Lonchura striata: one gene and its partners. The protein of the gene in region 3 purifies or fractionates together with the protein of the main gene of each other region. This does not show direct contact. Links are inferred from orthologs where the notes say so. Each region holds a gene or a part of one and is shown on either strand. Other genes may lie near its edges. The genes, in order: MGA, E2F6 and L3MBTL2.

Region 1 (10,133 bases), on a different chromosome or scaffold from region 3:
CTAGTATAAAGTATTTCAAATGCCCAAGTTCACTACCAAGACATAGACTCTTCTCCCAAATGCTTCTTTCAGACATATTCCCTTGAAGGCATGACCTACAGTCTTTACAAGCTGCATTTCAACACCCAGTAAATCACGCTTCTGTTTTCATATCACCTACATGCCTATAAAGCACCCACTCAAGCCTACCTGCTACAAGTAATAAGAGACTGTAACTGTTAGAACTGCAGCAACAAACTGTTCTTCAGCCGTTCTTATATTTAACCTGTGGTAAAGATTCAGTAACAAAGAAGGAATTGGAGGGTCACAAATCCCAGGCTTTGCGACAGAGGACAAAATACATTGTATATAGTTGCATGTATACACATGTAACTATACATAGTTAAGTAAAAGAGACCAGCTGCCAATTTGTGAAAAACACACAAGAAGTGTAGATTACATTTTTTGTTGGCAATCCCCTGAATACAAAGGTTACTACTACACAAGGACAGGACATTTCTGTCACATAGCATAGTGTGAAAGACACTACTACAGAAGCATTACTGGAGCATAAAGGAGGCTTTCAGCTCTTAAATTCACTTGCTAAAAACAAGCACCAGCTGAAACTACACTCACTACCTGGAAACAACAGCTATCAAAACCAGCTGTGCCAGTGTAACACACCCACAGCAGCAGTCAGCAGTTTATTACAGCAGTCTAAAGTTTACCACTAACTACAACCAAACAGCCCTGACTGGGCTCAAAAATCCCACGTTTTGGGCATTAAAAAAAAAAAAAAAAAAACCCAAAAACCAACCAAAAAAACAAAATCCACAAGCATTTAAAGAGCTGAAAACCTAGTGATGCCACAACCAGAAGTGTTGTGCAACGTGCAGACTAAAAGAGTTAAAACACAAAAAACGTTCTTTCTTTAGACAATGTTTTTCTACTTTGGAGAATGATTAACAGTAGCAACCCACAAGGAATTCTGTTAATCTAACCAAAACTCTGGATTAATTTGCATTTAGGAAGGTATCTAGTCCCATTTTCTATGCCATAACCAGCCTCACTGGCCTCCAACTCCTTCTCCAGACCAGTAGTAGTCTCCAGAGCTTAATGTTTGCTGTACATGGATGTCTCTAAAAATTTTCAGCATCCATCAGCTACAGATCTCTGTTCTTATGCAAGAGAATCAGCCCAAATTTACTTTCAGAAATTTACATAATGTTATTTTTGATAGGAAACTAGCTTAAATTATTTTCTTAGCCTTAGTAAAGAAATATAGATTAGTGCCAAGAAGACAAAAGATTAAAGTGGTGGCAGAATCTAGACAAAAATTGAGATCAAGAAAAAAAAATTATTGAAAGAAATGGACTGTTGCAGGAAAAAAGTTTTTCAGTCATTTTAAAAATGCTTTTAGCTTTCTTGCTGATGCAAAGCTGAAGAAACACATGCTCCAACTGCAGTCAGAAAGCACTTATGCTCACAAAAAGTCTGACACAGCTTGTGCACTGTCAGCTTTCAGCCCAGAGTCTTGCTTTACACTAAAACCAAATTCATGTCACACTCAGAGTCTCAACTATTGCAGGATGAATAGGTGGTAGTTCAGAAAGTGCTTCACAACTGAGAGCTACACGCCTGCAAGAGCAGCAGCTGCTTTTGGAGGAACAAGGCACATACCTGGGAAGGCAGAGGAAAGAGAAACTCCTGCTTCCCCACTCCAACAGCCATACCATGCCATGGAATCCAAACTTCCAGCTGCCCATAAAGTCAGTCGTTTTTCAAACAGCATTAATCCTGCAACATACAATGTATACAGTATTTTGCATCTCTCAAGAGCTACCTGAACTTCTGGGAAACACTTCCCAAACACTGAAGATTGCAAAGTGGAAATGCACCCAACTGGATGTGGCAAACACAGTGCCATGGTCTAGCTGACAGGCGGTGATGGGTCAAAGGTTGTATTCCATGATTTTGGAGGTCTTTTCCAACCAAAATGATTCTGTGATTTCTGTTAAGAATGAATCACTGGTGAGAGGCCAGGGGGGAAAGTAAAGTTAACTAATAATAAATGCTCTTTTTACCTATATACAACATGTTATATTTAGGTTAATGTATTTTACATTACTTCCTATATTTCAGCAGTGAGTGAGATGCCCATTGCTCATACATTCAATGAATGCTGTATTTGTTAACATACTATTATTTCAACTACCAAAAATCACAAAATAAAACAATGAAGTAATGCTTTATGCTTTTTGCCATGCAACACTGGCAGAAACCAGACATAATCAGCAGGAATAGCACCATTTTGATAAATTTCAATCCCTTTATGGCCATCATAAGGAACATTTATCACATACATGAATCTTCAGCTGGGGATCTTGTCCACATCATAGAAGAAAAAACCAAAAATGACGTAAATAAAAAGCCGTCACCCGAGTTCAGGACTGTCCTACTTATCCAGTTATTTTATAGCAATACTCATTGCTACAGAGTCACCAGTGGTTCAGCAAGTTAGAGCTGCCAAGGAACCTTTATTCCCCTTTTAGGGGGAAAAAGAACGTGACACTCATTCAAGTCCAGATCATTGGTGATGTGCTCCAGGTTTATATCCCTCTTCATTACTGTTTATTGACTTACCCTGGGGTCATAAGACCACACCAAATTAACAGAAAGTACTGTACAAGAGTTAGCAAAACAGCACAATTCCAACATCACAAATATTTGTTTAACAGTATCTGGGTCACAGTCTTGTCATTGTCCAAACTGGCTTTTCCTGACATTGTCACTGGAACAAAGATTGCATTTTTATTGTAGATAGGTTTTATCTAGTTCCCATTCATTTTCTCTCTTTTATGCTGTTCACATTCCTTTAATGCCTTTCTGTTTTGGGCTTGATTAAAAAAAATAAAACAAAAGAGCTTTCTTCTGGTTGCTTTCTTCTTATGACACACCTTCATCATCCTTCTCTCACATATCATTCTCACTGCATTCTTCCTTATTCAGCTCAGCAAAGGATTTATCCCAGGTACTAAAACCAGACAAAATCCAACAGTGAAAGTACATACCATCTTTGTATGGAAAGAGAAGAGCAGCTCCACCATCACCATGATTATTTGTTCTAAGGTTATCCAGTGTTAAGAAAGAGTAACAAAAAAAGCAAACCAACACAGCACAACACATCCTTAGTTATGGAAGAAAAAGACAAGAGGAAAGCCCTGCTAGTGCCACAACTAGTGGCACTGCTCCCTATGCACATGCCATGACTGAGTGTTCTTTTGTAGATCCTCTGCTGTCTATGAAACAGCAAACAGACAACAGCCTCCTCACAAAGAAGAGCTCTTTCTCACTCCAGTAGGCAGAGACCTATTTCATTGCGTTTGTAAGGAAAATGTCTTGGACTTCCCATTTCTTAAGGTTGTTTTTAAAAACAATCACGAGCTTCACAAACAATCTAGTGGATTTGCATATAAATGAAGAAGCAGCCTACATTCAAAAATAATTTCCTTTTTTTTTTTTTTTTTCCTGGAAGGTAACCAAACAAGTTTATTCACCACTGGTTTCCTCTAGTTGCACGTTTTCTCCCATGGCAGGAACAACAGCATCTGAACCGATACTGAGCCAGCAATGGGTGAGGTTAACAGCCATCTGCTGTTAGATGAAATACGGAAGTGAATGAATGCTGCCCATCTCCACCAGACCTAAGAAATATGGGTTTTTTCTCCCTATAAAAAGCTGTACAAAAATGCTCACCTATGGGAACACTTTTGAAGCAGAATAAATTTCCCTTTCCAGTTATCTGTACAGATTCACAAGGCACTGTGCCCGAGGGCACTGAAAGGGTGCTGCAGCTGCATCGGGCAGAACAGCTGCAAGCAACAAGACCAAAGCTTCAGCCTGCCCCTCTTCTTTAAACTGCCCTCGGTTTTCAGTCTGCAGCAACTTCAAATCTTCGGAGCTGTAGCCCATCTCATCAAGTGCGATTACACACGGCCCATGCCTTCACACAGTTCACGTCGGGAGCAAGGCAGCGTGACTGTTGTGCAAGATTTGACAATGAGTCAGGCAAGATGCTCCAACCACATACTGGGAAGCCACTCATCTCCCCGGGCTGCTGAAACAGCCGCTGGCCCTCGTGCCTAGCCGCTCCTCACTGAGCTCGCCTTCGCGCTTCGACTCCCTTCTAAACTCACCAGCTCAGTGCGAGCGGTTCCAAGCAGGGCAGCACCGAGGGCCGCGCGCCCCCGCGCCCGCCCCCGCGCCCTGCCGGGGCGCACGCGCGCCGCCCGCGGGCCGCCCCGCCCCCGGCCGGGGGGCCCCGCTCCGGCCCCGCCCAGCCCGCCGGCCTCTGCCACCCAGGGGGCACCGGGGCCGCTTCCCGGGAAAGGCTCTCTCGGCGCTCCAGCCCCGTCTCATAGGTGGCGCCGGCCACGCCCCCACCGGGGGCCGATCCCTCGGAGCGCGATGGCTTAGGGAGCGGCGGCAGCTGCCCGGGGCCGGGCCTCACCCGACCCTTCCCGGCTGGAGAGCCCGGATGCCGCTCGGTCCCTTTAAACAATCCCCCCGGTCAGGTGACCGCCGGCCGCTACCCATTGCCCGCGCCCCCGGGTCCCGCCCGCTCGCACCCCTGAACAGAGCGGCGCGGGGGCGCGCCAGGGGTGCGAGCGGCCGCCGGTCCCGCTCCCGTCCCGCGCGCGACCCCCTCGCCTCAAACGCGGGCGCGGCGGCAGCGCGCGGGCAGGCGGCGCGCGTGCGGGTGATTGGGCGGCCGCCGCGCTCACGTGACGCGCGCACGCCTCGCGCCACCTCGAGTGAAAAACTTCCGAGGGAGGGGGGGGCGGCCGGCTCTTACCTGAGTCCGCGCGCCGCCCGGCAACGCCCCGGCCCACGCGGCCCTCGCCCGCCACGCGCGACCTCCTGCCGCCCTCATTGGCCGCCGCGGTCCATCACGTGGGCCACGCACGTTCCCGGGCCCTTCCCCCGGCTTGTCTCCCGCCCCCCCGCGAGGCCGGTGCCGGAGCGCGGGGGGCAACGGGGTCCGGCGGCGGCCGTGCGGTGCAGCTGCCTCGCGACGCCCCGCCAGCGGCGCGCCGCCGATTGGCCGGATCCGCCCGTCGACGCAGTTCCGCTCCCAGGGCGCCGCCGGCCACGCCCTTCCCGCCCCTCCCCCGGCCGTGCGCGAGGGATAACACGCTGCTCGCGCGTGGGGCCGCGCGGTAGCGCCGCCGGCGGCCGCGCCCCGCGCGCGCCCTTCCCGAGGGACGGCCGCGCCCCGAGCGCGCTCCCGTGGCCGCGCCGGCCCCGTGGGCGCGCTCCTGCCGCCGCACCGCACCGCCTTCGGCCGCCTGCGGCGCCTTCCCGCGGCTCCTCGTCTTTCCTCCGCCTTCCGCATTCGTGAATCACGGAAGAGGGGCTCGTGTGCTGCGGGGTGCGATGTTCTGGCGGTAGCTGGAGCTACGAGCGAACGCCGAAGGAGCGATGCTGGAGTGCAGAAGGATTCCCACGCTGTGGGTGCTATTGCCGCTCGCACAAGGCTCTCGGACCCGGCCGGGCTCCCGGGGACGGGAGTGTTTGTGGAGCTGCACGCAACTGCACTCACACCCATCCCCGAGTCACCGGGAAGCTACGTGTGAGCCGAAAGAGTTAAATAAAAACTGTCAGCATAGGGACGTACTCAAAGGTGATTCTGGAGACTTATCCAGAAAGCCTTTATTTGGTGTACAGTTAAATAATGGAACAAATGTTGATGGGAAAAAAAAATACAGAAATCCCCGTGAGCTCTGGGCAACATGGACGTGTGCAGGTTGGCTGAGCTGTGTGGCAGTTGTAACCGAGGGCAGTAGCTGCATCAATGAGTACGGCCAGGCCTCCCGTGCAGTCTTGAAAAATAATTTCAAGTTGTCTAAGGTAAAGGCAGGTCACATGTAATGGAAACCAATTTAAAATTTAAAGAAAAGCTGGTGACAAACAGCACCATAATGTAGCCCTGGGCTGAAATTTCTGTGTTGGAGGTCTTGGCCTGGAAAGGTGCTCAGTCATCACAGCAATCTGCATTCCCCAGGCATTGTGACATTACTGAGAATGTGTGGCAGTATGGCTGGGGAGTCCATGAGGGATGTAAAAGGGGAAGTGTCTCATTAGGCAGAGATTCATATTTCTCCAAACTTGAACTTTGCATTGAATTGATACCAAATTGAGTGGTTGGTTCTCAGATCACTGAGAAGATCAAAGATATCTTCCCTCACAACTTACATTATATTTGAGGAATCTGTATACAAAGGTTGCAGATACATTAACTGGTACATAAACTTTTGTTGGGCTTTTACAGTCTTACAGCTGAAGTTCAGAAGGGTTTGGGTGTCAATGGAGAAAGCACTGGTGGACTTAGGACATGTCTTTTTGGAATTTCTGGGCTGATTTAGGGATAGCTTCTTTGAAATTCTGCTGCTATAAGGGATAAAATGCCCAATTCTCAGCTGCGGGATCTGTTTTAGTTAATAGGCCAAACAGAGGAAACGCCGCCCAAATAAAATGTACTGTTTGATATTTATATGTTTGCAACATCATTACAGTTAAAGGATAAAGAAGTAATGCCAAGGCAATCAAAGATATTGGAGTTGGAAAAATAAAAGATAACACATGGAAGGGAAGTAAGTTTTCAATAATCTCTCAGGAGGAAAAGACATTATGACTACAGTAGTTTTGAAGGAAACCTGATGGTGTTTGTGAATATTACAGCAATGAGCCAACTTCGTGTAACAGATTAAAAAAAAAAAAAAGAAAATTTGTTGTTTTGGTCTCTAAGTGCAAAAAATATCTTTTATTGGGAAGAGGTAGATCTCACAACTGTTGTGTTGAAGAAGTTCCTATGCAAGTTAGATTGAGAAAATCTAACTTTAAAAATGTACACATCATTTGAAACAGAGGTGCCCAAATTACAAGTGAGGTTTTGCAGAAAAAAACTTGTTTGTTGGCTATTTTTTTTTTTTTGAAAGTTAATTATTGGGAAAGTAAAGATCAATAGAGATTGAGGAACCTTAAATAAGCAAGAAAAAGAATTATCCTCCTCTCCCCCTCCTTTCCCTTCTGAATAAAACCTTTTAAAGGGGGAAGTGAAAAAGGGCAGTCAGTACCTGTTCTTCCAGGGCCCTGTCTGCCCGAGGACCACACTGCTCTTCCACATCATCTGTTTGCCCAGAGGCCCACTCACTATCCCATTTCTCTCCACTCTCCTGTTCACACATCGTTCACTGTGGGCCTCTTCACTTGAAATCAACACCCAACTTTTTCAGCTCTTCCATCCCCACCCATCCTATTAAGAATTATAAAATGGGCCTGGAAATCCAATAGGACTGTTCCCACCGAGGAGCATATTTAGGAAATAAGGGCTTTTAAAAACTGAGCAGAAACAGGCATATCCTTTTATAAGAATAAATTACACAGGTTTTGAGTGGGCTGAGCTTGTGGGAGGAAGGAAGTGTGATACAAAGAGAAAGGGTGGTGCTAAATCTGGTCTATGCCTAAGGCTGGCATTTTATTGCCAAACTCATTACCTGCTCTGTTTATTCATGATGACTGTAGAAATCCAACCCCTATAAACAAATTTCTCCTTTTAATAATATCCATTTATAATTAATCAAAATGTAAAAATAATTACATTTAAATGACAATAATTTCATTTAACAACCACCACAACCCTCATGTTTGAAGTATGTTATGTAAATGCTTTAATCAATCACTCAAAGCCTGCAAAATGTCAGATTAAGGATGGAACTTCCTGGGCACTGAGCGAGTCAGGATCATATGAAGAAAATAATGTGTGAATTTTTCATGAAATCAGCATTACACACATGGGAACCAGATAAAGATCACTGAGATAATTGTGAAGCTGACATTTACTAGCTTTGCAGCATGGATTTTGTATTCCAAATAATGACCTTCATGGAAAGGGTTCATTGATGATGGTTGCTTTCTGAGGTTTTCCCTTGGTTACATTGGAGCTGCTGCTATTGTGCCTCCTTGTCACAATTTAAACCCGAACCTTCCCCTTATACTGGTCACCAGAGCTGCACATTACAGTGCAATTGTACAGCAAGAAAGGTTCTTCTTTCCAAAGCCAGAGGCCAGGAATCAGCAGCTGGGACTGGAGAGGTAACGTTGGGAGGAAAGTCTGTCCAGCTTTTTTTAATAATTCGACAAAGAAAAATGGCAGGCAAAGCAGAAGACGTGCCCCTAACTTCATTGCTGTTTTTGTTTCACAATGTGATAAAGCCCCCCAAGACCTCATCGAGGTCCAGACTGCTCCCCCTTGCAGCCTTCCCTCTTTAGTCTTCCTGTCTCTGGACACTCAAAGGAACCTGTGCTTCTGAGGCTGGGCTTCTGCTCTCTCTTTTACACAAGACTGCAAGGCGGCCAAGTCCTCTCCTTCTCAGGGATCGTCCCAGCTTCCCTCCACGAGGACCAGGGACAATTGCGACCTCCGAATTCCCAAGATGTTGCCTTCCCCAGCCCAAAGAAAGCAGAGGTGAAACAAGGCTGCACTTTAGCTCCTCACTTCAGTCATTCCACAGAGAGCTGGGGGACCTGCGGCAGCACCCACAGGAGAGGAGCTGCTGGCGCGTCTCTGCAGTTTACTCCCGGCACGGTGTTTATTGAACGCAGAAACCCCTTGGGAATGCATCAGCGGCGAGACGCTGGGATTTGGCTTTCTTGCTGTAGGCGAGTTCCTAAAGGGCACAAGGTACCTTTGGGATCTGGCCAAAGGCTATCGCTCGCCGAGGGGAGCAGCCCCGACCACCCCGGAGGAGCTTTTCCAGCCTCGCTGTCTTTCCCAACTGCTTTGTGTGCCGCAGTTTTGGCTCTTCTGCTGCCACAAGCCTAGCCGAGCCTAGTCTTTTGTCCTTCCTTTTCCCGTGTTGAAGGGACCGCAGCCTAACAAAGCCTTTCCTGCCAGAATGGTTCAAACCCACCATCCCCAGACCCTGGGCTGCCCCTTCCTCGCGGTGACACCGCACGCGAGGGGTTAAACATTCCCCCAGGCAAGCCCGAGGCAGGAGGCTGCCGGAGCAGCTCCCGGGTCAGATCGCTATCGCAGCGCTACCGACCCGAGTCCCGCTCGTAGATGGGGCGGGGGCCGGGGCACAAACCTGCCCCGAAGCGCTTGGGGGGCGCGGCGTGCGATGGGGGCGGCGGCCGCCCTGCGCCCCAGGGGCCCGCGGGCGGGCGCGGCCAGCGAGCGCCTCCGTCCCCCGGCCCAGGGCTCTTCCACGGCCGTACACGCGCCGCGGGAGCCCCGGCGCCGGTCGCTCGGCATCCACGTGAGCACGGAGCTGTCCTGGAGCCTGGCAGGAAGCTCCGGCTGCAAACCGCTCGCACACGTCTGCCAGCGGCGGTGCGAAAGCAGCTGCGGCGCGGAGGCACCCGATGCCAGCGCGCCTGGCTGAACTTCCCGACAGCACCGAGCCTCTCCTGGCTCCTAGAATTATTTGCTTTTAAACTGAAAATGGCGGTGATTTCTCAGATATGTGAAGCCAGTAGTTTTCATGCTGCAGCATCCTCATTTAAAGCAGTTTTGGGAGCCCCAAACGATATTACAGATCTAACAGACAGACTCTACCCGTGCCCTGCAGCTTCTCCCGGTGAAAGGAGACATGAAGCAGGCACACTCGTCCCTCCTGCAAGAGGCAAACTCTGCCCCCCCAGCCCAGACTGCCACTGGCATACTAGGGTCAAGGCCTTCAACTTCCCCAAAGCTGGAGGCCTACCCGGTGGGTAAGAAGGAGGAAGGAAAAGGGAGAGGGAAGAGTAGAGGAAAGGGATGAGGCAGGCATCAGGCGCTGGGGTGCTGCTCAGAGGCAGAACAGTGGGGTCACAGGTTTTCTGGGTGGGTTGGAAACCATTCTTAGACCATTGCAGACCATCTAGAAGCTCCTATGCATTGGCAAAATTTTGTCCTCCCCAACAGTGTTTGAGTGGCAAAATTTTTGCCCTCCTCAAGGATGTCTGAGGGGAGCTAAAGGTATCAGCTGCCCCATTTGAGCGTGAGGGCACCTCCCAGCCCCAGCAGTAGTGCCCTGGCAGGACTAAGCAGCAGGGTGGACAATTCTGCCATTCAAAGCAACTCACTGCCCTAAGCACTTTTTGTGGGTTTA
Region 2 (10,818 bases), on a different chromosome or scaffold from region 3:
TGTTTACACAAAATCCAAAACTGCTGAACTACCAAGGATGAAGACTGTACATTTCTGGACAATCTGATCCACAGCTTCATTATTCTTATGTTGGAGAACAATGGGAAAAATTTCCTTTTCTCCGTTTTTTTCCCCCAATTTCAGATAAGTGTTATTCCTTTCAAATGACACATTTGAAAAGGCTACAGCAGAACAGAAAAGCAACATACAAGAGTGACTAGAGATTTAAAATAACTTCCACACACAACAGATTACATAGGTTAGGAATCTTGAAATTGAAAAACTGGTAACTGAGCTGATAAATATCTATTGAGATATTTAGTTGAGAATAATATAGAAAAAGTGCACTGAAAATAAATTATTTCAGTTTCCCATAATACAGGAATTACAGAGTACCAAATTACATGATTGGGGAACATATTTGAAACAGAATTACTTCATTTTTCCTAACAAGCTAAAATCATGGAATTCACTGCTGTAAAAACTGATTATTTTTCCTTTCCTGAAATTATATAAATTGTCATTTTCAATTAATAATTTATTATTATTCATTAGAATTTGCCTTCTGATAAGAACCAACTTAAAGTGAAGGAAGCTCAAGGAGACCTTATTACTCTCTACAACCATCTGTAAGGAGGTTGTAATGAGGGAAGTGTTGGTCTCTTTTTCCAAGTAATAAGAGATAGGATGAGAGGAAACAGACTCAAGCAGCACCAGAGGAAGTTTAGATTGGTTATTAGGGGAAACTTCTTCACCAAAAGGTTATCAAGCTTTGGAAGAGGCTGCCCAGGGAAGTGGTTAAGTCACCATTCCTGGAGGTATTTAGAAGATGTGCCAATGGGGCACACAGGGACATGGTTTAGTGGTGGACTTGGTAGTACTGAGTTAATAGTTGGACTTGATGATGTTAGAGGTCTTTTCCAACCTAAATTAATCTCTAAGGTTCCTCAGTATTGTAGGCAAAACTGCCATTCCTCAAAGGTAAAACAAAGGTATTACCATTCAGCTACCTTCCATTTTGCTTGTTCTGGAAATGTGAGAGGAAGGGAAGGATGAGAAGAAAAGCAGAAAAGTCTGCTTAGCTTTAATCCTCTGGTGCTGGGATCTCATCTCGCTGGAGGCCTGGGACCTGTTCACAAGGGGTGTTACTCCCTGATGGAAAGACATGGAAACTCATGGAAGACTGGGGCTGGACTAGCAGAGCCTGGAGGAATGCAGATGCCTCAAAAATGGAAACAAGTACCTGAGTTTCTCCAGTGGTTTCCAGTGTTTTTTACAGCATCTGTATACAGCTCGTCTCCCAGTGGCAGGTAACCCACTTTCCCAGAATCTCTTTCTCCTACACCTTCCCTCAGCACAAACAGGTGCCCCAACATTTCTCATCCATTTCAAGTTCTCACTGCTTTAGAGTGAGAAACTGGAGGAAAGGATGGAAGTGGCCAACGTACTTTGTGTTAGGCTTGAATTACTTTTCTGCATCTTGACAATCCCACTATCAGTGAACGTGCTGAATCATAAATCTCACTGCACACATAACAGCAAGCTACTCTAATTTCAAGTAGGTACTGTATAACACTTTTTCACATTGTAAGAAAAATAATAAAATAAATTTTTAAAAACTCACCCTAAGAAAAAAAAAACAAATCAAACAAACAAAAAACCCAGAAAAAAACGCAAAAAACAAAATTTAAAAACCTAAACAAAACGAACAAAAAAAAAATCCCACAACAAAAAACACACTGACTTCAAGGATACTTTTAAACTCAGGATATAATGACAACCACCTTATGAGGACATACTTCAACTTTTCCATACATTTAAAGTTTACAAAATAAATCCATCAGTGAATTCTGCACCTCCTCTGCCACAGAAAAGATACAAACAAAAAATATAATAATGACCTTTTGCAACAGGAATCTTCTTCTGTTGATAAATTCCTTACCATGGATGAAAACTTCCAGCAGATTCTGTAAAGACCTTTGCCTAGAAATCCCCAGGCTGTGTCAGACAATGGCAGATGGCTTACTGCCAAATTTCCAAACCTTCCTAAGAACACAATATTCACTGAACTTTTTCAGTAAGACACCAGTGTTCATATACAGTAAGTACTTGCTATTTACACAACCCTAATGTCACCTTAAGGGTTCTTTTTCCATCTATATAATTTCTTTACTAAATTAGAGGTAGAAGAAGCAGGAGCTTCAGTTTATATCATGAACTAACTCCAATGTCTCCAACAAGATACCACATCCATGACTTTTAAGTGTCATTCAGGACATGACAAAAATGAATGCCATTTAGCACTGTTCTTCTCTGATCTGATTAACTGACTCAATCTTCCTCATACACAACAAAGTGAAGAAATAGGAGATCTGCCTTCTTAGACTAAAGGATGACTATTTTCCATGTATACAGGAAGATTTTTTTTCAGGCAGATTAAGCTGAGCACATCAAGAAAAATTCTACTATTGCCAGAAACAGATTTAAGTCATTGCATTTTACAGCATAAAAATGTATACCTTTATGCCTAATAGTTATGCAGTGGTGAGGACCTTAGGGAGGCCTGGAAGCTTCTACAGACTGACATACTAATATACAAAAAAATGGATAACTCTATAGCCCCATGTAGTTCAAACAGGTATTTACAGCGATTGCTGTCTTTCATGATTTTGTACTTTTTCAGGAATATATTTCCTCTGGCTCATCTTTTCAGCAATACATGTGCACCTAATGTAAGATCCAGTTACAAGATTATTGTCTTGAAAGGAAAGATTTCATTTAATACAGAGCTGTAGAGTTTTACACAAGGCAGCCTTGGCTTTAAGAGCAGAATGCTGTAACCACTGTACACATAAAGAAAGAAAAAAATCATATAAGGGTATAAGGTACTCTTTAATGGATGTATTTCCAATTTCAGAATCACATATATAGGCTAATAAATATTAATAGTATATTAATGCAGCAAAAAGTAAAAGAGTGGGAAAATAATATGATTAAAACAAAGCTTGAATATTACAATGGCAATATAAAAACCACCAAAAAGCTCATACTGCGTTAGATACAAACCATGCACCATTTCAGTGCTGCATGAAGTTTACCAGTAAAAACTTTTACAAAGCAGTCAAATTTCAGCTGCTCAGAATAAAACCTACATGCCTTGCCTAAGTAGTGCATGGCAAAGTATTTACCATGTATTTACAAGTAATTTAAGAAGCATTTTTAAGAAACTTATGTTTTGCCCTTCACATACAGTCATCTAAAAATATTAGTGAATCCACTATTCTGGCAGGTTTTGATGGTAAAAGATCAGATTTAGGAAATGAATTATTGCCCCCTGGTGGCACTTTAAGAATCAATGTAATGATAAAGAAATCAATTTCAGATAAATAAGCAAATAACTTTTAAGTATCCTGTTTTGTACAATTAATATCTGGAGGTGTTAAAAGAATGCACAGTCATTTTAGTATGTATTAAGATGACAGTAAATGGGGTATAATTTACATTTTCATCTTCATGATTATTCTAATAAAGAATGTGTTATGTTTAATTATCAGTTTTGTAAAATGTAAACAGTAACATACCAGAATAAAACTCTTTATCAGCAGACTGCCACAGCAAAAACTCCTGACAGTCAAGCAAACTACTTCAACATCTAATTTTTACTTAAAAGAATATTAAGTCTTTTTAATTTTCATATAAATATAGAAAACACTTCCCGAATCTGAATCCAAGTGAGGCTCTTCTTCACTCCATGAGATAACATCAGCAGGCAAGGACAGAGAAGCACGGGAACAACAGGATTTGATCTTATGACTGGCTAGAACAACAGCATAGTTAAACATTGATGCAATGTTTTCCACATGGGTTAATACAGGAATTCATGTATCCTAATCCTCAAATTATGAGTTGTTAACATCCTCCTAACGTCTGTCCAGCCAACAGCCACCAACTCCTATTCAATGACTTTAATACTGCTTGGCACTTTCCTTACATCACCTCAAACTAACATGGCCCTGAACATCTAGTCCAAATCATTTTGCTGTTCCAGGTGAAAAAAACTTGCTTTATCACAGTGGGTCTATACAATCTGTAATTGCAATGATAAAATATATCTTCCAGAATACAAAAAAGAGTAGAAATATTCATTCCTCATGGAACTACACATATTACCACATAGAAATTACCAATTAGGTTATGTTGCACATACAGAAATGAGCATTTTTACATTTTAGTGTAATCACGTGTCCCTTCCATAATAGGAAAACCTCCACCTGCAGCAGTCTAACCTTGCCTTGCAATACTGACAACCAGCATTTGCATGACATCTTTAAATGCACAACTCCCAATCTCCTGAAATACAAACATCTTGTCTTTGAGGAGCTGCAATATATTTTTCCCTCTTTTATTTTTGTTGATTCATTAGAGCATGAAAACAACTCACCTCAGTTCTACACTTCTCTACAAGGTCAATTATTACCATGGAAATACTTGGCTGAAAATTTATTGCTATGAAGAAAACTCCATTCTCTATCTAGGCATCTGATATATCACTGGTGATACCATAAGCTACTCTAAAGGAACGTCCAACTGGAAGGGCTATGAAATACATAGTAAATGAAAATTAATTCAGTATTTATTCAAGATAATATAGTATTAGTTGACTTGTTTGGTCTGACATATTAGAGTATGAATAAAGTTCTTCATGGCTTTGAATTCTTCATACCAGACTAGCAGTTTTACATGTCTGATGAAATCAGGACTAGAAATTTCACCTGAAATGTGGGTGGGAGAAGCAAAATAGTTCATAATTCTTAAAGCAAAAGAACTCCATGACAGACTTACCTGCTGTAGAAGAGAGTTAATTGCCATAAAGAGCAATTAAGCAACAAATGGGATACCTAACAAGGATCTGTGTTTTAAAGAAATGTTTTTGTCTTGACAAACAGAAGTTATCTATGCAACTGGCAATTTTGAGACTACTGCTGAGGCTGGCAAATGACAAGGTGTCAGTGCTTGTAAAACATTACCAGAAGTGTGGAGGAAAGGGCAGGAGCAATGGAACTGGGACTTGGGGAAGGATGTTGCTGCAAGGTAAATGTACAGGATTAGTGTGGACATGCCACATTTGATGGCTCCTGTCTGGCCCTAGAGGAACATACCTTGCCATTCACTCACAAACCTCTTGTAATTAACTTATACCTGACACAGGCATTCTAGCCATGTCTCCCCTATGAGTGACACACATAGCTCTGGCTGCCTTGCACTAGCAAGTATTGACAAAACCAGGTAATTTGGCAGGGAGTCAATACTAATTACTCTCACTCACACTTGCATGGCAATGCTCAGCCAGAATGCTCTCTCCCAGCTCTTGCTGTTACCTGAAGGAAAGAGAACCCTCTCCTCGAGGGGAAGCCCTGTGAGGAGTGCCCGAGGGGAGGCCTCACTGCACTTTCAGCTTCCTTGGAGGGGAACAGGAGGGGCCGACACTTCTCTTTGGTGACCAGGGACAGGACCTGGAATGGGAGGTTCAGGTTGGGTATTAGAAAATGGTTCTTTACCCAGAGAAGCAGTGGTTGGGCACTGGAACAAGCTCCTCAGGGAAGTGGTCACAGCACCAGCCTGCCAAAGCTCAAGAAACACCTGGACAGCACTCTCAGGCACACGGTGTGACTCTGGAAGTGTCCTGCGCAGAGCCAGGAGCAGGACTCGACGATCCGTGTGGGTCCCTTCGAACTCGGCATATTCTCTGATTCCTCCCTTAGCCCACGCTGGCTGCTGCAGCGCCCAGCGCCGCTGTCGCAGAGGCGAGGACAGCGGCGAGGGGGCCGTTTCCTCCGCCGGCCCGGCAGGCTGACGGGAGAGGAGGTGGGGAGGAGGAGAGGTGGGGAGGAGGAGAGGAGGGGAGGTGGGGAGGAGGAGAGGAGGGGAGGTGGGGAGGTGGGGAGGAGGGGAGGAGGGGAGCGCGGCGCTCGCTGAGGCGGGGCGGGGCCGGGCCGGGCGGGAAGGCGCCGCGGGGGCCGATGGGTAACGGAGGGAGAAGGCGGCGGCGCAGAGGGGAGGGCGCGTGCGCGGGTCCCGCCCGTTCCCGCCCCAGCGGCCGCCTCGGGCGGGAGCCGCGGCCATGACGGGCAGCGATGAGGGTGGGAGCAGCCCCGCGGCGCCCCGCGCCCGGCCGCGCTTCGGAGCTTCGGTGTGAGGCCGTCAGTGCGCTCTCCCTTCTCCAGCGCCTCGCCGCGGGGCGGGGAGGAGGGGCCGGGCGGACATGGCCAGCCCCGACAAATGGGAGCGCCTGAAGGCGCTGCAGGCGGACATGCTGCGTGTGAGTGAGGTACATGGCGGGAGGCGCTGCCCGTGGCGGGGGAGAGGGCGGGACGGCGCCGCAGCTGCGCTCCTGCCGCGGGGCTTGGAGGAGGCGGCCGGAGCCCGTCCTACGTCTCTGGGCGGGAAAGATGCGGCGGGCCCGGCAGCGTGGTACCCGAATGGAGCGCTGGGTGCTTCCCTCCCGCGTGACGTTGGGATGGGCTTCCCGGGAACGGCGCTAGAATGCAAAAGGATGGTTTTTCTTGCCTGTGTTACCTACAGCCTCTTAATCGAGCTAAATATGTTGTAACTAATTATGAGAAAAGGGGACTACAATGTGTTTTCTCCTCTTAATGTCTGCGATCATCTTACGTGCAGCTGCCCCTATTACCTTTAGCAATGCTATGAAGTAGTTAGCAAAAAAGCATATTTTATAAAACGTTTTTTTTTAAAATGTTACATGGTTTTAGTTAATCTGGATGGTGCATACTTTTAATTTTGTGAAATGTTTTAAATGTATTATTTTTTTAAAATTAATCTTGTCAGTTGGACTAAAGGTTACTTGATAGTATTAAAGCCATGAAAAAATTAATGTAAGGTTTTAGGTGATGTAAGTATTAATGTAAGTTTTTAGTTTTAATTGAAGTGATGATTGTAAGAAGCAAATTATGTTTGGCACAGCTTCTTCATGTAGATACTTAGATGAGTGTATGATGGGTGATAATTTCCTTGATCAGCTTCTTATAAACCGAGAGGTCGATATGGTAATCATTAACAGCCTTGCCTGTGATGGCCATGGAATAGTGGGTGTGAATTACATCTAGTGTAGGCACTGCCCAACCCTTGGGATAACAAAAGGGAACAGAGATGGTCTCACTGCTAAGGTGGGCAAAGAGAGACACATGGGGAGACACAGCAGGAGCAGAGGACTCGGAGTGAAGAGCAAGATTTATCTGAGTAGACTATGAGGGTATAAAACCTTAGAGGTTCCTTTGCTGTGTGTCCCTCTTTGGAGGTACCAGCTTGGGCTGCTTCTGTGTTGCTGCACCTTGAATAAATTGCTTTATGGAGAGACATCCGAGACTCTGCAGTGGGAAACCTGGGGTTGAACCAGTGAGGAAACATGGCCTGACTGCATGAGTGTGGTGTGTAGGGAGTCAAGAGGGCCTCCCAGTAGCACACTGAGGCAGTCCACCATGAAGGGGCTTCAGGTCCAGCATGAGTCTTATGAATGGTCAGACTGGGAAGTTTTCTTAACAGTGGGATATTCAAGACCTTCAAGCCTACTACTAAGGAAGGCTAGTAGTAAGGTGCAGAACCTGGATTCCAGCTTACTCAGTCTTCAAGGCTCCAGCTTATTCTGGCAAGAGGTAGGTTGAGATTTTTGGGGAGGCAGCTTTGGAAGCTGGAGGAACTGAAGAGATGGGAGATTAGTAAGGAGAAACGTTTCATCGTGACACTTATGGCAAAAAGGACAGGACAGAAGAAGGACTAAAGAACAAGAATAAGAAGTGCTTGGACATGCAGATGTGATGCTTGGAAAGCCAAAATAGTAGTGTTGAAGCTAGCAAGGAATGTCAAAGGTCACAATATTGAAGAAATTTCCCTGTCTGACCATGCAAGAGCCACTTTTGTCAGTCACTCTCACACCACCTGAGCTGGGACCGAGGCCCCTTTGCAGCAGCACCCCCACACTTGCACAGACAAGCTCTCTTCACCAAATTGACCCCAGGTTTCCCATAGCAGAGTATTAGACATGTGGATTCTTAAAATAACTTAACAACAGCTGGAACAGGGACCCCAGACAAAGGAAACCTTGGGCTTGTATACCTTGAATTGGGTTTTTGTGGTCAGGTTTTGATAGTAGGTGAGGCCTGCAGGGTGGCTTCTGTGAGAAGCTGCCAGAAATTTCCCCCATGTCCTGCAGAGCTAATGCCAGGCAGCTCCAGATTGATCTAACACTGGCCAAGGCGGAGTTAATCAGAGATAATAGTAGTGATTACATATTTAAGAAGAGGGAAAAAAGTTACTATACAATTGTAATTACAGCCAGAGAAGAGTGGAGTGAGAATATGTGAGAGGAACAACTCTGCAGACACCAAGGTGAGTGGAGAAAGAGGAGGAGGAGGTGCTCCAGGTGCCTGCTCTGCAGAGACTCCCTGCAGCCTGTGGTGCAGCCCATGGTGAAGCAGCAGCAGCCCATGGAGGACCATGGGGATGCAGAGATCCACCTGCAGCCCATGGATGAGACCCAGGCTGAACAGGTGGATGCCTGAAAGGAGGCTGTGAACTTGTGGGAAGCTCATGCTGGAGCAGGGACCCGTGGAGCCCATGCTGGAGCAGGCTTTCTGGTAGGACTCATGACCCTTGACCCACACTGGAGCAGGCTGTGCCTGAAGGACTGCACCCTGAGGAAAAGTGATGGACACTGAAAGAGTTGGTGAACTGTTTCTGTGGGATGGACTCATACTGGAGAAGTTAATGGAGGGTTTCTTCTGTGGGAGGGAACTCCACACTGAAGTAGAGGAAGGACTCTCCACCCTGAGCAGCCACAGGAACAACATTTGATGAACTGACATAACCCCCATTCCCATCTCCCTGCACTGCTGGTGTGGAGGAGGTAGAGCTTGGGAAGGTGGGAGGGGTGGGGGGAAGGTGTTTTCTTAAGATGTGTTTTATTTCTCATTATTCCTCTCTGATTTTACTGGTAATAAATATAATATTCTCAAGTTAAGTCTGTTTTGCCCATAATGGTATTTGGGGAGTGATCTCTTCTGGTCCTTAGCTCAACTCACAAACTTCTTGTTACATCTCTTCCCTAACCACTTGTGGAGGGGAGTGAGAGCAGCTTTGGTGGCCTGGCAGGGTCTATCCTAAGGTCTGTCCTGTTGTTAGGTGGAGGATGTGAGGTTTATAGGCTGGAGGAAGGAGTCATCTAACGCCTCATGAACCTGGGAAGTTGAAAATCAGGATAAAGCCTTGCCTTTACCCTGCAGTGGTACAGGCTGGGGACCACCCTATTGAGAGGACCTGGGGTTCTTCATGGACAGTGGGCTAAGTGTGCACCTGCATTGTGTCCTGACATTAAGGCATATGAGGCTGTCTTAGCAGGAGAACAGTAAATTGAGGAAAATTATTCTTTTTCTTTATTTGAAAGTATATTAGATTGCCCTTGGAATGCTGTTCCTGATTTAGGTCCACTAGTACAGGAAGGCTGTTAATAAACTCCTGAGAGAACTTGTTAAGCCACAGCCACCCTTCAGTAAAATCATAGCATCGCCTGAGTTGGAAAGGACCCATAAACATCATCAACTCCTACGCCAGCACAGGGCAATCCCAAAAGTCACACCATGTTCCTGAGAGCATTGTCCAAGAGCTTCTTGAACTCCGGCAGTCTTGTTGCTGTGACTGCTTCCTTGGGGAGTTTGTTCCAGTACCCAACCACCCTCTGGGTGAAGAACCATTTTCCTAATATCTAACCTAAACTTCCCCTGACAAGTTTCATTCCATGCTTGCAAGCAAGTGAAGAACTTTAAGAGGTTACCAGATATTTCACAGTTGTACATGATGGGTGATTGAAAGGAAATGGCCATGAATTGAAATAAAAGAAGCAAGAGAGGTTGCAGCTTGCCTGAGCATCAGCAAGTTCAATGGTGTTTCCTGTTTTTGAAAACAGAGTGAGTTCTACTGAGATTTAAGGGCTGAAAATTCTGGCAGGAATTAAGGCACATGTATTCCTTCTATCTAGTGGCACATCTTCACAGTAATAGCTGTTGAGTTGTCAGAGCTGTGATGGCTGTAACGTTTAAAGAAGATTTGATGATTTCTTCTGAAGAAGCTCCCCCTGTACACAGCATTTTATGATAGTTGTTTTTTTACCTTTTTATGTCCTCAGGCATCAATGATCAACCTGAATGTGCACAAAGACACACAGCTTGTGAAAAGTAAGTTGCTATGTGTCATGTGTGAAAATTAATCTTGCAGTATGTGCCTTTCTACAATGTGAGTACAATGCTGTAGACAAATTAGAAATTGTATTTAATATCAACAGAGTAGGAAAGATGCTGAACACTGACTGAAATAACAGATGTGAAGCAATACATTCTTTATAGTTTTTCCTCTTCAGATCTGTTCTAAGTATACCTTCCCACTGCTATATTAAAAATAATACATAGGAAAAGTGAGTTATAGAAAATTGGAACAATGTACTAGCAACTGGTGCATTTCAACTGGTGTTAATAAATGTGGAAATAAATTTAAGTTAGTTTCTGGGTGTTGGGGGGTTTTTTGTTGTATTTTCTCACCAGCTGAGTTGTTTCACACATTTCACAGTAACACAGTCCAAAATGGAGTTGTTGAACCCATCCCTTCATGTTACAGAGTGCACAAACTTGCAGCCATGGAATGGGCGTGATACGTTATGAGTGAAAGTGCGCATCTTATTCATCTTGGGGAAGATACTGATGGTTGAAGTAAAAGTGTTGTCTAGGGTGCTTTGTTTACACACTCACCTTTTCT
Region 3 (10,643 bases):
GCACTGATGTGTGAGCATGAGGTAAGCTTGTGTGGATGTCCTGCAGGCAGGTGCTGCACCGGGATGGTGTATGGGTACCCAGTCACCCTGGGTCACATCTGGTGACCTGCTGGGCGCAGAGGCATTCCCAAACAGAAGTGCTGTCGCCATGGAGCGCACGGGCAGTGAGTCCAGCTGTGTGCTGCCCACAGCTCTGCTCACACGGAGTTAATTCGGTCATGTCGTGTGTTGTGCTCAAACTGGTTGTGGTGGATGTGGCTGGTTCGTTGAGGGCTTTCCAAAATCCAGCCTTATGGTGTGCGTGTGTATACAGTACTAGCTGCCTAGGGAATGACTCTCCACCAGGGTATTATGCACCTGGAAGACCCAGATGGGACCACGGATGTGACCAGAGCACAACTGTGTAATGCCAGCTGTGTTGGGAAGATCAGTGTATCTGCAGATCCCAGACAGGTAACACATGCAAGCTGACCCAGGAAACTGCTCGTGGAAGACAATGGAGGAGGTAAGTGCCAAATAAAAGTAGTGGTGTATTGCAATGTGAATGGATGTGGGAGTAAAATGCTTGGGTTTTGGATATAAACATAATTAGGACAATGAATCTTGTATTTAAAAAGGGGTTGGTGGCAAGCCTTCAGCAAGATGGTGGAAAGTTTGTGGTAGGCTTAAGGAAAGCAGCCCTGGGCTTTGGTGTTTGCCCTTGGCTAAACCTCATACTGCTCACCCCAGCATGGTGCAAACCAGCTCTGCACCAAGCCCACAATTACCCTGGTGCATTGGGAGGGACTGCTCTTGGCCTAAAGGAGAGCAGTAAGCAAAAAAAGCCCCATTTATTGAAAGCCAGGACAGCAGCCTGGGATTGTTTAGATTTGTGCTCTAGAAGCTTTCCTCTTCCTTCCCTGCCACTAAGCAAAGCCTAGTTTTGCTTTCAGCCTTGGGGGGGACTTCTCAGGATGGAGCATAAGTAAAATTCCTTCTGACCACATAGAGGCTAGTAAAGTGAAAAGTTGCCCAGCCTTCTGACATACATGGTTTTAGTGCAAACAGTTTTCATTTGTGCCACTGAGTTAGCACACAAACCATGGTTAGAATTTGTCCTGACCTGCAGGACAAATCAAAACATCTGAAGTGGGGAAGTCCTGGAACCTTGCAGAGCACAGTACACATCTTCCAACTTCAAATGCCAACATAGAGACTTGCTTGAAAGATGCCATGATGCATTCTATGTGACAGCACAGCTACTCTGTCCCTCTTTGAAGGTGCTGACTGAGCCAAGTTCAGTTTTTGAGGTGATGTGGATGATCAAGAGTCTAAAATTTGCATAGGGTTTTTTTTCCTGACATCCCTCTACTTCTGCTTTCTCTGGTTCTTCTAGAGAACCAGATCCCACCATTTGGAGCACTACTATGGCTGTTTCTAGTAGTGGGAGGATTTCAGGGAGAGAACAAAATTAGGGTGTCATCTGTATCTCTTGCCATTCAGTTGTGTCCAAGTTAGGTTGTTTCACTCCTATTTATTAGACTCTTGGACTACCAAAAAGAATTCACACCCAAAGTTCTAGCAATCTAGTCAGATGTTGATTGTCCAGTTACAACGATGCTAATGGTTGTACTCAAATAATGTGTAGTTCAGTGATGTAAACTTTCTAATGTTTGACCTTCCAATATCCCAGCTCCCTCAGCCTCTCTCCATCTGACGGAGGCTCTAATCTCATCACTGTGCTGCCCATTTGCTGGATTCACTATACCCATGTCTCTCTTGTACTGGGTAGCCCAAACTATTTGGCACAAAACCGAAGATGATTTTGGTAGCAGTCACCTGGTCATTAGACAACTGTTGTAACAGCAAAACGAGCTATGGCAGCTCCTGGCAGGCCAAGACAAGCCCAGGCAAAGCCTGACAAAGTCTCACATAAAGCAGAGCTGGTGGCCTCTTACCAGTAGTGGCAGCACCATGACAAGGCTGAGGTGGATGATGTGACAGTGACAGCCATTCCAGCTTTTGTTTCATTTTTCCAGTATATGATACACAATTTCCCTGCAAGAAACTCCACCTCCTGTTTCCAAGATGGTCTTTTTGCTGCTTCCAGTTTCAGCCAAACTCAATGACTCCAGCCTATCCTCTCTGGACAATCTGGAACAGATCCTGTAGTGAAAGACAGCACCAATCAGAAGAGTCTGCTCCTAATGACCAATTCTGCCTAAGTATGTGATGAGGCTTACTACCCTAAAAATGAGCTTTTATTTGAAGACAGCCAGAGGGTGCTCTGTCTGGGGAATATTTATTTTTACTGCCTTCCTACAATACTGGGGTATCTGCCAGTTTGCCCAAGGAGCCATTTTTTCCCTCAGCTTGTCAAAGCAGATTTTGTGCCATAGATCCCAGCCTGAGACACAGCATAACCTGGCCCCTGAAAGTGTAAAAGCACAACACGTTCCATCCTCAGGTGTTGCAGCAGCATCTGTGTTTGCATCATGGCTGGAGAGCTACTCAGCTGCTGTCAGCCTTGCAGGTGAAGTTGGCACAGCTCAGACTGTGGTTTTTTCCCCAGGTGTGCTGGCTGGTGGCAGGCTCTAGTGTATCTTGGGAGCACAGAGTTATATGGGAGGCAACCACAAACACATGTTTTTTCTTCTCCTCATGTCCCTGCAGTCCCCAGGGCAATAGCAGGAACTGAAAGGTCATTACCAGAAGAAAGCTCTTTGCCAATCCTGATCCTCTGGCTGAAAGTGCAGAGCTTCTGCTGCCCTGAAAAGCAAAAAGTCTTTCATTTTATTTTCCTCTTCACTTCTGCTTTTCATTGTCTGTACTGTCCCACACCAGTGTGGCACTGAAATGAGCTCCCAGTACAATGTCGCCCCATGTCTTCCTTAAAAAGCTTGTAGAGGGATCAAGAGGCAGCACAGCTCAGCTCTCAAAAGCCAGATTTCTTGGGGGTCTGGGATGGGATAAGCGCTTCAAACCAAGATAGATCTCCTAGGCAGTTAACTCTTCCCTCTCCTTGTCAGGATAGCCTTGGAACTGGCTGTAGTTGCTTTCTGGGATTTTGTTTTGGTTTTTTGTTTCCTTATTTTTTTGTTTGAGTTTTTTTAATTTGGACAAAAATTATTTACTGTTTCATTAGTATTTGTATGTAGAGTTGTGTTGACATATATTGACAGATTTAATGTGATAGTAAAATAGCAAGGAAGGACAGGCTAGTTTAGTATTTGTGCCCTTAACTGGGTTGCCTGTTGGGTCTGGGGTTGGATTATTTGGTCACTATACAAATTACTATGTCAATCCTATAGTGTAACCTTGTGACAAGTGGCTGCAAATGCAGAAGAACATTACTGTAGCATTTTGATCTGACGAGGGTTTTCTGCAAGCTCCTCGGCCCACAAGAGAGATCTAGAAAACAGCAACTGCTCAAATCTCCCACCCGCAAGTAGGCTGTTGTCATACATAGTGCAGGACATGCCTCTCCATTTCAGTTACCATGGTAAAATTAGTCTGCCAAAGGTTAAGCAGAATACGTTTCCTTATATTATTCCTTCTGTTTGCTTTTTGGTTTTCCCAGCTCACTACCCTATTTTCCTTTTTCAAAGACAGTACTATGAATGTATGGCCAAAGCTTACGTGTCTATGAATACTTTTTCTTCAAAATGGTTCCCTTCCCAGTGCTCATGACAAAAATTAAACCCTTCAAAGTATTTTGGTTTTTCACAGTGTCAGCTAGGAGGAGCCTACACACAAGAATTTGGAAGGCCTGTAGTGGAATGGCTGGCACTTAGTGTTGGAAGTGAAAAAAAGCCCCTGGAGCACAGGATTCTCATGAGCTCTTTGCAATAACAGAGGAGAAAACTGAAAAAGGAGGCTCTGGAGAAGTAGCAGATGAATTTATGAAGACTGGGGGTCTGAAACATGAGCTCTGCATCCCAGAGCATGGGTGAGAGGACAGTCGCAGTAGACAAGCACAAAGAGCCAGTGAGACAAGGCTCCTGAAAGAAGTTGTGGTAATGAGGGGCAGAGTATATGCTGAAGTACAAAAGCTGCACACCTTGGATCTGAGCGCCTGAGGAAGCAGCCTGGCTCCCTGTCCATTGCAGCCAGGGCTCCTTCTGTCATTGCACCTGACAGCAGCCCTTTGATACTGATCTTTCTAAAATTTTTATTGCAGATTATGTTAAAACACAGACCAAGCCCGGAACAGCAGTAGGGAAGGAGATGGGAAAAGTGAAGTGTAATCTAAGAGTTGGGTTTTAGTTACCTGATATTGCCAGTGCTGTTCTCTCTCTAAAGAAAGGAGTTAGTTTTGATTGTTGTTACATAACAGAGTTTTTATTATTGAAAAGAATATAAGTATTCCTCAATCAAATTGAACTTGATTCACATTAAAATGAATTTATTTAAATACTGTTATTTATTCAAAAGGATTGTTTAGAACTGCAATGAAAAATGAAGAGCTGTGGTGTGGGGTTTCCCTTTTAAAGCTTGTTCTGTGTGAACACAGGACTCATTTCTACTGAAGCCTTCAAGAAGCCTTGAGCCAGCCTGAGTGTGACCTAAGGGTGTGACCTGCTTGTTCCACTCTGGGAAGGGCGCAGGTGGTGCACACCAGTTATAGCTCACAACGTGTTCCATGAAAGATTATTGCAGTAGAAAGACTTAATGAGCCTTTAATTTTGTACTGTGTCTTTTCTGGAAACAGCTTTGCTGTCTGCAATGCCATGCAATGTCTAGCAGTATTTACAAGTGAATAACCGTCATTATGATTTATTTCATTATTAACTATACTATTTTACAGCAATTTTCTATTTTTAACATTGGTGGAGGACTGCTTGGAAAACCTGAATGTGGAGGATCCCTGGTGCTAAGGAAATTTGCTGATTGATTTGCAGAGTGGCTTTGCCAGCTCCCTGACATTTCCCTCTGTAAATTAGGCTGTGACCACTATCCCAGATTCTCAGCGTGTTTCATATGGATAGTGACATCTCTTTGTGTTTATATCTACAGGCTGTAGCCCCATGTTAGAGCTTTTGGATTGTCTGGAAGAGCCTTTGGAATGAACCTTTTCCATGCTGCTTTACTCCCACCTGCAGCTAAGACTGTGCAGTTGTGCTTCATACATTATTTGTTCAGCCACTCACTACAAAGTCCATACACACTAGGAATGCTCAATACAGCCCTTTTTTTTTTTTTTTTTTTTTTTTTTTTTTTTTTTTTTTCCTCCTACAACGTCAACACAGTGACAATGATAACAAAATAAGAGGGTGGAAAATGGAAACTGCCTCCAGGGGCTTACCTTTACATAAGTTTCTTGACAGGCTGATAGAGCTGGGGTTGTTCAGCCTGGAGAAGAAAAGGCTCTGGAGAGACCTCGCTGCAGCCTTAAAGTACCTAGAGGGGGGTAATAAAAAAGAGGAAGATGGACTTTTTATATGAGCAGATAATGACAGAACAAGGACTAGTGGCTTTAAACTGAAGGAGGGCAGATTGAGATTAGATACAGGAAGAAATTCTTTACTGTGAGGGTGGTGAGACACTGGCACAGGCTGCACAGAGAAACTATGGATGTCCCATCCCTGGGAGTGCTCAAGGCCAGGTTGGATTGGGCTCTGGGTAACCTGTTCTAGTGAAAAATGACCCTGCCCTCCGCAGGGGGGTCGAATTGGATGATCTCTAGGGTACGGTCCTATCCAAGCCATTCTGGGACTGAGTGGGCTAATACCGAACCACAAGCAAGAACGGAGCCGGGGAGACGGCAGCAGAGCCCAGCCCGTTCCTGGGTGGGACCGCCGCGAGGCGCCATAGCTGCGGGAAAAGAACTACAGCTCCCGTCATGACCCGCGGGCAGAGCGGCGGGAACAAACTCCCCGCTGATTTGCTGTGCTTTCCGCTGTTCTCGCCAATCGGACGCGCAGCTCAGGGGGGACGCTCTCCAGGCGCGTGAGGCGGGCTGGCGTGGCGGGGCCATGGAGCGGGACCGGAGGGAGGTGAGCGGGACGCGGCGGGGGCTCCTCTGGGGCCCCGGCTGGGTTGCTCCTGGGGACGGCGGCGGGTCCTTCTGATCCCGACGCGATGGGCCCCCGCGTCCCCCTCAGCTTGCCGAGGAGGCTCCGGGTGATGCTGCCTTTGCTTGGCAGCCCTGGGGACTTGTAACAATATCCGCAAGTTTCACTCGCCTGTTGTGGAAGAGTAACGATGCAATGGTGCTCACGTCCTACGAGCTGGTGTAAAATGCACCCACACAGGGACTAGAAGGCGATGAAAATATTTGTTTTTTTAGAGTTCAGGCCTTTCAAGACATCAGGAATGCTATCTGAGGGCCTGGATCCGTAGGACAGGAACTCTTTGTTCAGGGAATAACCTGGGAACCTTGGATCTGTGTTGTGTGAAAGCCAGGGAGGATGCGGGGAGACAGCAGTGAGTGAAGTCTGATTTTCCTGACCACGTGTCTATAATGACAGCTAGAGCCAGGGGTCAGAGGGAATTTAGCACTGGAAGGTGATAGGCTTTCTGCTGATCTTTTGTTGTTGCCCACTTGGAGGAACAATGGTATCCTCCTGCCTCATGTAGCTGTTTGAATCTGCCTTTCTGATCCATCACTTCCTGTGCTGATGCTGTTTTTGCTGCTCTTTCATGAGTTGCTAACATATTTTCCTAGTTTCTTTTATGCTTATTTGGAGCCTGGTTCAAGATTCTTCTAGTCTGAGACACACTGTTTTTCTGTGCTCTTTCTTCAGTCTTTGCCTTGCAGCTCTCCTGCTGTAACAGCAACTGCGAAGAGCCAGTGAAGATGTTTAGCTGTGGAGGCATCTGGGTTTAGACAAAAACCTATACAAACGTTCTGCTATCCTGCTGGTGTAGTTTCTGAACCGAGGTCAGCTGTGGACTCTGTAGTTTTCAGAGGACATAAACTGTCTCCAGGACTGAGTTGGTCCTGCTGACTTCCAGGCTGTGCTGGTCTTGTGAGCTGTGGTGGCAGGAACGTGCAGCCTGTGCTCCATTGTGGAAGTCTGTGCTGGCTTTATTGTGATGGTCTCTGTGCTGCTATGCTGTGCAACTATGTTGGGAGGAACATTGCCGGGAAGGACGCAGTCTCATCTGTCTTCATCAGCAAGGCAGTGCTTTGCCCTGTATTTTCTATGTTCCTCAAGATTCTTTTTATCTAGCAACAGCACTTTTCTCTTGGGAAGCAGAATGCAGCATGTTGAATACCAGTAAAGGGATCTGTTTGGGGGAAGGCAGTTCAGAGTCCCGCCTTTGGGGTTGTTATGTGGATTCCTTGCCTGCCTTGAGGCCACTCCCTGGCCCAAGAGGGCCTCCTCCAGCAGCAAAGGCAGGTTTATTGTGCAGTGGGGTGTAAAATGTTGATTTTAAAGTAAATTGGCTCTTTTTCTAGATGGTGTCTGCCTTTGGCCACAAAACTTCATCTTTGGAGCGGGTGGAGGAGGAAGGTGATGCTGATGAGGAGGATGATGAATTGGACATCTTTGGGGGTTATGACAGCCTCACGTGCTACAACAGCAGCATGGGCAGTGACAGCAGCTCCTGTCTGGAGGAATCTAGCGATGATGAGGTGGCAGACCGGGAAGCTGGAGAGCTTTCAACATCTCCGATGCACCAGCCATCCACAGGCCGGCTCACAGAAGACAATGGCTCCGAGCCAGGTACTGCCTGTGCTGCCTGAAGTATGTTCAGGGGCAGTGAAAGGTGTGTGGGGATGCTTTGGGAGCAACTTTGGATTCAGACTGCATTTATTGGGCTATGTGGGGGATCTGCACTGTATAATCATGGTTAGCTGGTCTCAGCTCTGTCACCGTGGTGCATTGACTCTGCAAAATCCTCACGTTTTTGGCCTTCCTTCTTGCAGCTGTGTGCGAAATGTGTGGGATTGTGGGCACCAGGGAGGCTTTCTTCTCCAAGACTAAACGTTTCTGCAGCGTCTCCTGCTCCAGAAGCTACTCCTCAAATTCCAAAAAGGCCAGCATCCTGGCCAGACTGCAGGTACGTTAAAACTGTTCCAGCTGGCTCTCTGGCTCCATCATGGTTGTAGGCTTATGTCATGCTGGGGAACTTCAACCACTCCTATACCTACAGAAAGTAGCATGGCAGGCTGTAGGTAATCCAGGAGACTCCTGAAACGTATGTGGGATAATTTCTTAAGCCAAGGAATAGACAGCTGTAGCAGAGAGAATGCAACAGTAGACCTGCTGGTCAAGACTAGAGGCAGTGGCTCTAGTTGCAGTGGTCATGCATTGGTGGAATTTCTAATCTTGAGGAATATAGGTCAGCTAAGGAGTAAAGTCATGCTCTTGAACTTTAGGAAGGCATACTTCCAGCTCTTCAGAGAGAATCTATAATTCTGTGAGATTTCCTGGGGATGGAGCAGGATCTGCCTTTATGTAGGGTTGCTCTTTAATTGAATATCAGACTGACAGTCCCAGTGGCTTATTCTTCCTTCCTGAAGTCTCCAGAGAAGGCATGACAGCTTAAAGGTGGTGTTCCCTAAGAGCTGAGAAAGGACACACATGTATTTTACCTGCTGTTTCTTGTTCCTGTGAGTGTTAATAAATACTGTAGTAGACTGAAAATTGTCCCAAGGAAGAGATGTATGCCCAGTTCCAGAGAGTGGCTTAGTCTCCTGTGCCATTAATGTTTCTAATCATTCTTCTTTTATAGGGGAAGCCACCAACGAAGAAAGCTAAAGTTCTGCACAAGGCATCCTGGTCAGCTAAGATCGGGGCCTTCCTCCATTCACAGGGCACAGGACAGCTGGCAGATGGGACACTGACAGGTCAGGATGGTGAGTGTAAATGAGGTGTGAGGAGGTGCAGCTTCTGAAGTCAAAGAATGGGGAGACTTTGAGGGATATAAACTTTGAAGTCCTCCTTCTCCTCTCTGGTACACTTCTTTGTGCGATGTGTGTGGATTGCTCTGACACAAGCTGGCAGAACACAGGGCATGTCTTTTTTCCTCTTCCTGCCCATCCACTATTGTAGCCTCATCCTCACTCCTCGTATGACTTAACCTGGAGTGTTAGCTCTGTGGTCCCAGTTCCATGAGGTACTGACTTCTGCTGGCAAAGCTGACTTAAAGGTGTCCTGTTTCTCCCAGCCATTTGCTGCCCCACTCCTCATGGTTGCCCCGAGTCACCCACTGATCGCTTTGAGCAAAAACCAGTCACTGCAGCTGAAGGAGTAGTAACTTACTGTGTTAGGGAAAACGGGACATGGCAGCAGCAGGGAGTGATCCCTGAGCAGTCTGCTGCTGGAGCGGAGCTGTAGCCTGCAGCCAGGATGACTGCGGGATTAATCTCTCAATTTAGTATCTGATTTTCCCAGCAACCTCTGGGAAAGCAAGTGCTGCTGATAGGACCCTGCAGTGTTGCAGCTGAGATGCAAAATGTGAAGTGGTTTAACCCTAAAAGAATGCACTCTCCTTGGAGTGCTTTAGCCCTGGGCTGGACTTGACCGCTTTTATTGCCCTTTCTGCTCCTCCAAAAGCAAGTGACAGTAAATATTCATTAGTAAAATATTTTGCCTCATGTGGTGGTTAGTGACCTTGCACTCACATAGGGTCTAGTTTCCCACCAGAGAAAATGCAGTGGAATGCATAATCCCTGTGTGTTGTGTCCTAGTGCCTGAAGGCTGCAGGCTGCAGTCCAGAGGTAACTGATCTCTGTGGCTGTTGTCATCTTATCTGATTTTCTGTTCTCATGTCTGCTTGTAGCACTCGTCCTGGGCTTTGACTGGGGAAAGTACCTGCAGGAGCACGGCTACAAGGCAGCTCCTGTCAGTTGTTTCAAACACGTGAGTTCTACTTTGCTGTGTATGCCAGGGCACATAGGGCACATATGCATGGGGCCCCCCTGTGCTCCTGCGACAGGTGGTGAATAGAGGCCCAACAGGGCATTATTGAGATCAGGTGATGCAAGAAAAGAAGTTGGGGTTTGTTGCAGATGAGAATGGGAGTCTCACAAAGGGTCCAGGAGTTTTGGGGGAAGGAAGCAGAGGGGGACGTGGTAGAAACCCTGGTGCTAGTGATGCGTATGATTTTTAGCTTTTTATGTTTTTCATGTATTTGTAGCTTTGTAGATTGCTAAAGCATGGCTGTAGCTTCTAGTATTTTTCCCGGTTTTCTTCCCTACATGTAGGAACAATAAGCTAATCTTATAAACACATTCAGAAATATTATAGTCTTATTCCAAGAACACAACCAACTACAAGGACATTGTTTTCCAACCAGAATCTGAACCAGGCATAACAAAAATGGGGCAAAAGAAACCTCTGGACTGTTTCCAGTGGGTCAGAACCCCAGGAATTATTACCTAACCAACTAACATTTTAACTTGACAGTAAATGCTAAGTATACTAATTGACTAATCTTATAAAAACTGTAGAATTACTGTACCACGTGTAATTTTTGCCGTATTGTGTATCTGAAAGCTTTTAAGTAAAGGTTTGCTTTTATATTGACTCTAACATTGTTGGGAAGAGCTATTATATTTTCCAGGCATCAGTAGTAATAGCTCAGTGCTAACTGGAAACAGAATTAGTTCTGACTGGGGTTGATAGTGGGAAGCTAATTTTGTATGGCTGAATACAGCCCAGGATGATGTGCAGACAGGAATTCAGTTTATGTGAGCCTGACAGTAGCTG

What was found.
Region 1: the proteins of L3MBTL2 (region 3) and MGA purify together in Homo sapiens (affinity purification with mass spectrometry; 3 studies listed by BioGRID and IntAct, counting the BioPlex papers as one, with this or other methods). This does not show direct contact. The link is inferred for Lonchura striata from reciprocal best matches to the Homo sapiens genes L3MBTL2 and MGA.
Region 2: the proteins of L3MBTL2 (region 3) and E2F6 purify together in Homo sapiens (affinity purification with mass spectrometry; 5 studies listed by BioGRID and IntAct, counting the BioPlex papers as one, with this or other methods). This does not show direct contact. The link is inferred for Lonchura striata from reciprocal best matches to the Homo sapiens genes L3MBTL2 and E2F6.

Annotation. Positions count from the first base shown.
Region 1 is NC_134608.1:37,050,835-37,060,967, forward strand, and holds the start of MGA (MAX gene-associated protein), read right to left. Parts: upstream 4,970-10,133; 5' UTR 4,835-4,969; intron 1,777-4,834; exon of another isoform or gene 1,660-1,776; intron 1-1,659. UniProt on the Homo sapiens protein: Functions as a dual-specificity transcription factor, regulating the expression of both MAX-network and T-box family target genes. Functions as a repressor or an activator.
Region 2 is NC_134605.1:99,935,424-99,946,241, reverse strand, and holds the start of E2F6 (transcription factor E2F6), read left to right. Parts: upstream 1-6,082; 5' UTR 6,083-6,262; coding exon 6,263-6,328; intron 6,329-8,349; coding exon 8,350-8,403; intron 8,404-10,195; coding exon 10,196-10,244; intron 10,245-10,818. UniProt on the Homo sapiens protein: Inhibitor of E2F-dependent transcription. Binds DNA cooperatively with DP proteins through the E2 recognition site, 5'-TTTC[CG]CGC-3'. Has a preference for the 5'-TTTCCCGC-3' E2F recognition site.
Region 3 is NC_134607.1:25,002,308-25,012,950, forward strand, and holds the start of L3MBTL2 (lethal(3)malignant brain tumor-like protein 2), read left to right. Parts: upstream 1-5,898; 5' UTR 5,899-5,954; coding exon 5,955-5,975; intron 5,976-7,384; coding exon 7,385-7,652; intron 7,653-7,855; coding exon 7,856-7,989; intron 7,990-8,664; coding exon 8,665-8,788; intron 8,789-9,714; coding exon 9,715-9,794; intron 9,795-10,643. UniProt on the Homo sapiens protein: Putative Polycomb group (PcG) protein. PcG proteins maintain the transcriptionally repressive state of genes, probably via a modification of chromatin, rendering it heritably changed in its expressibility.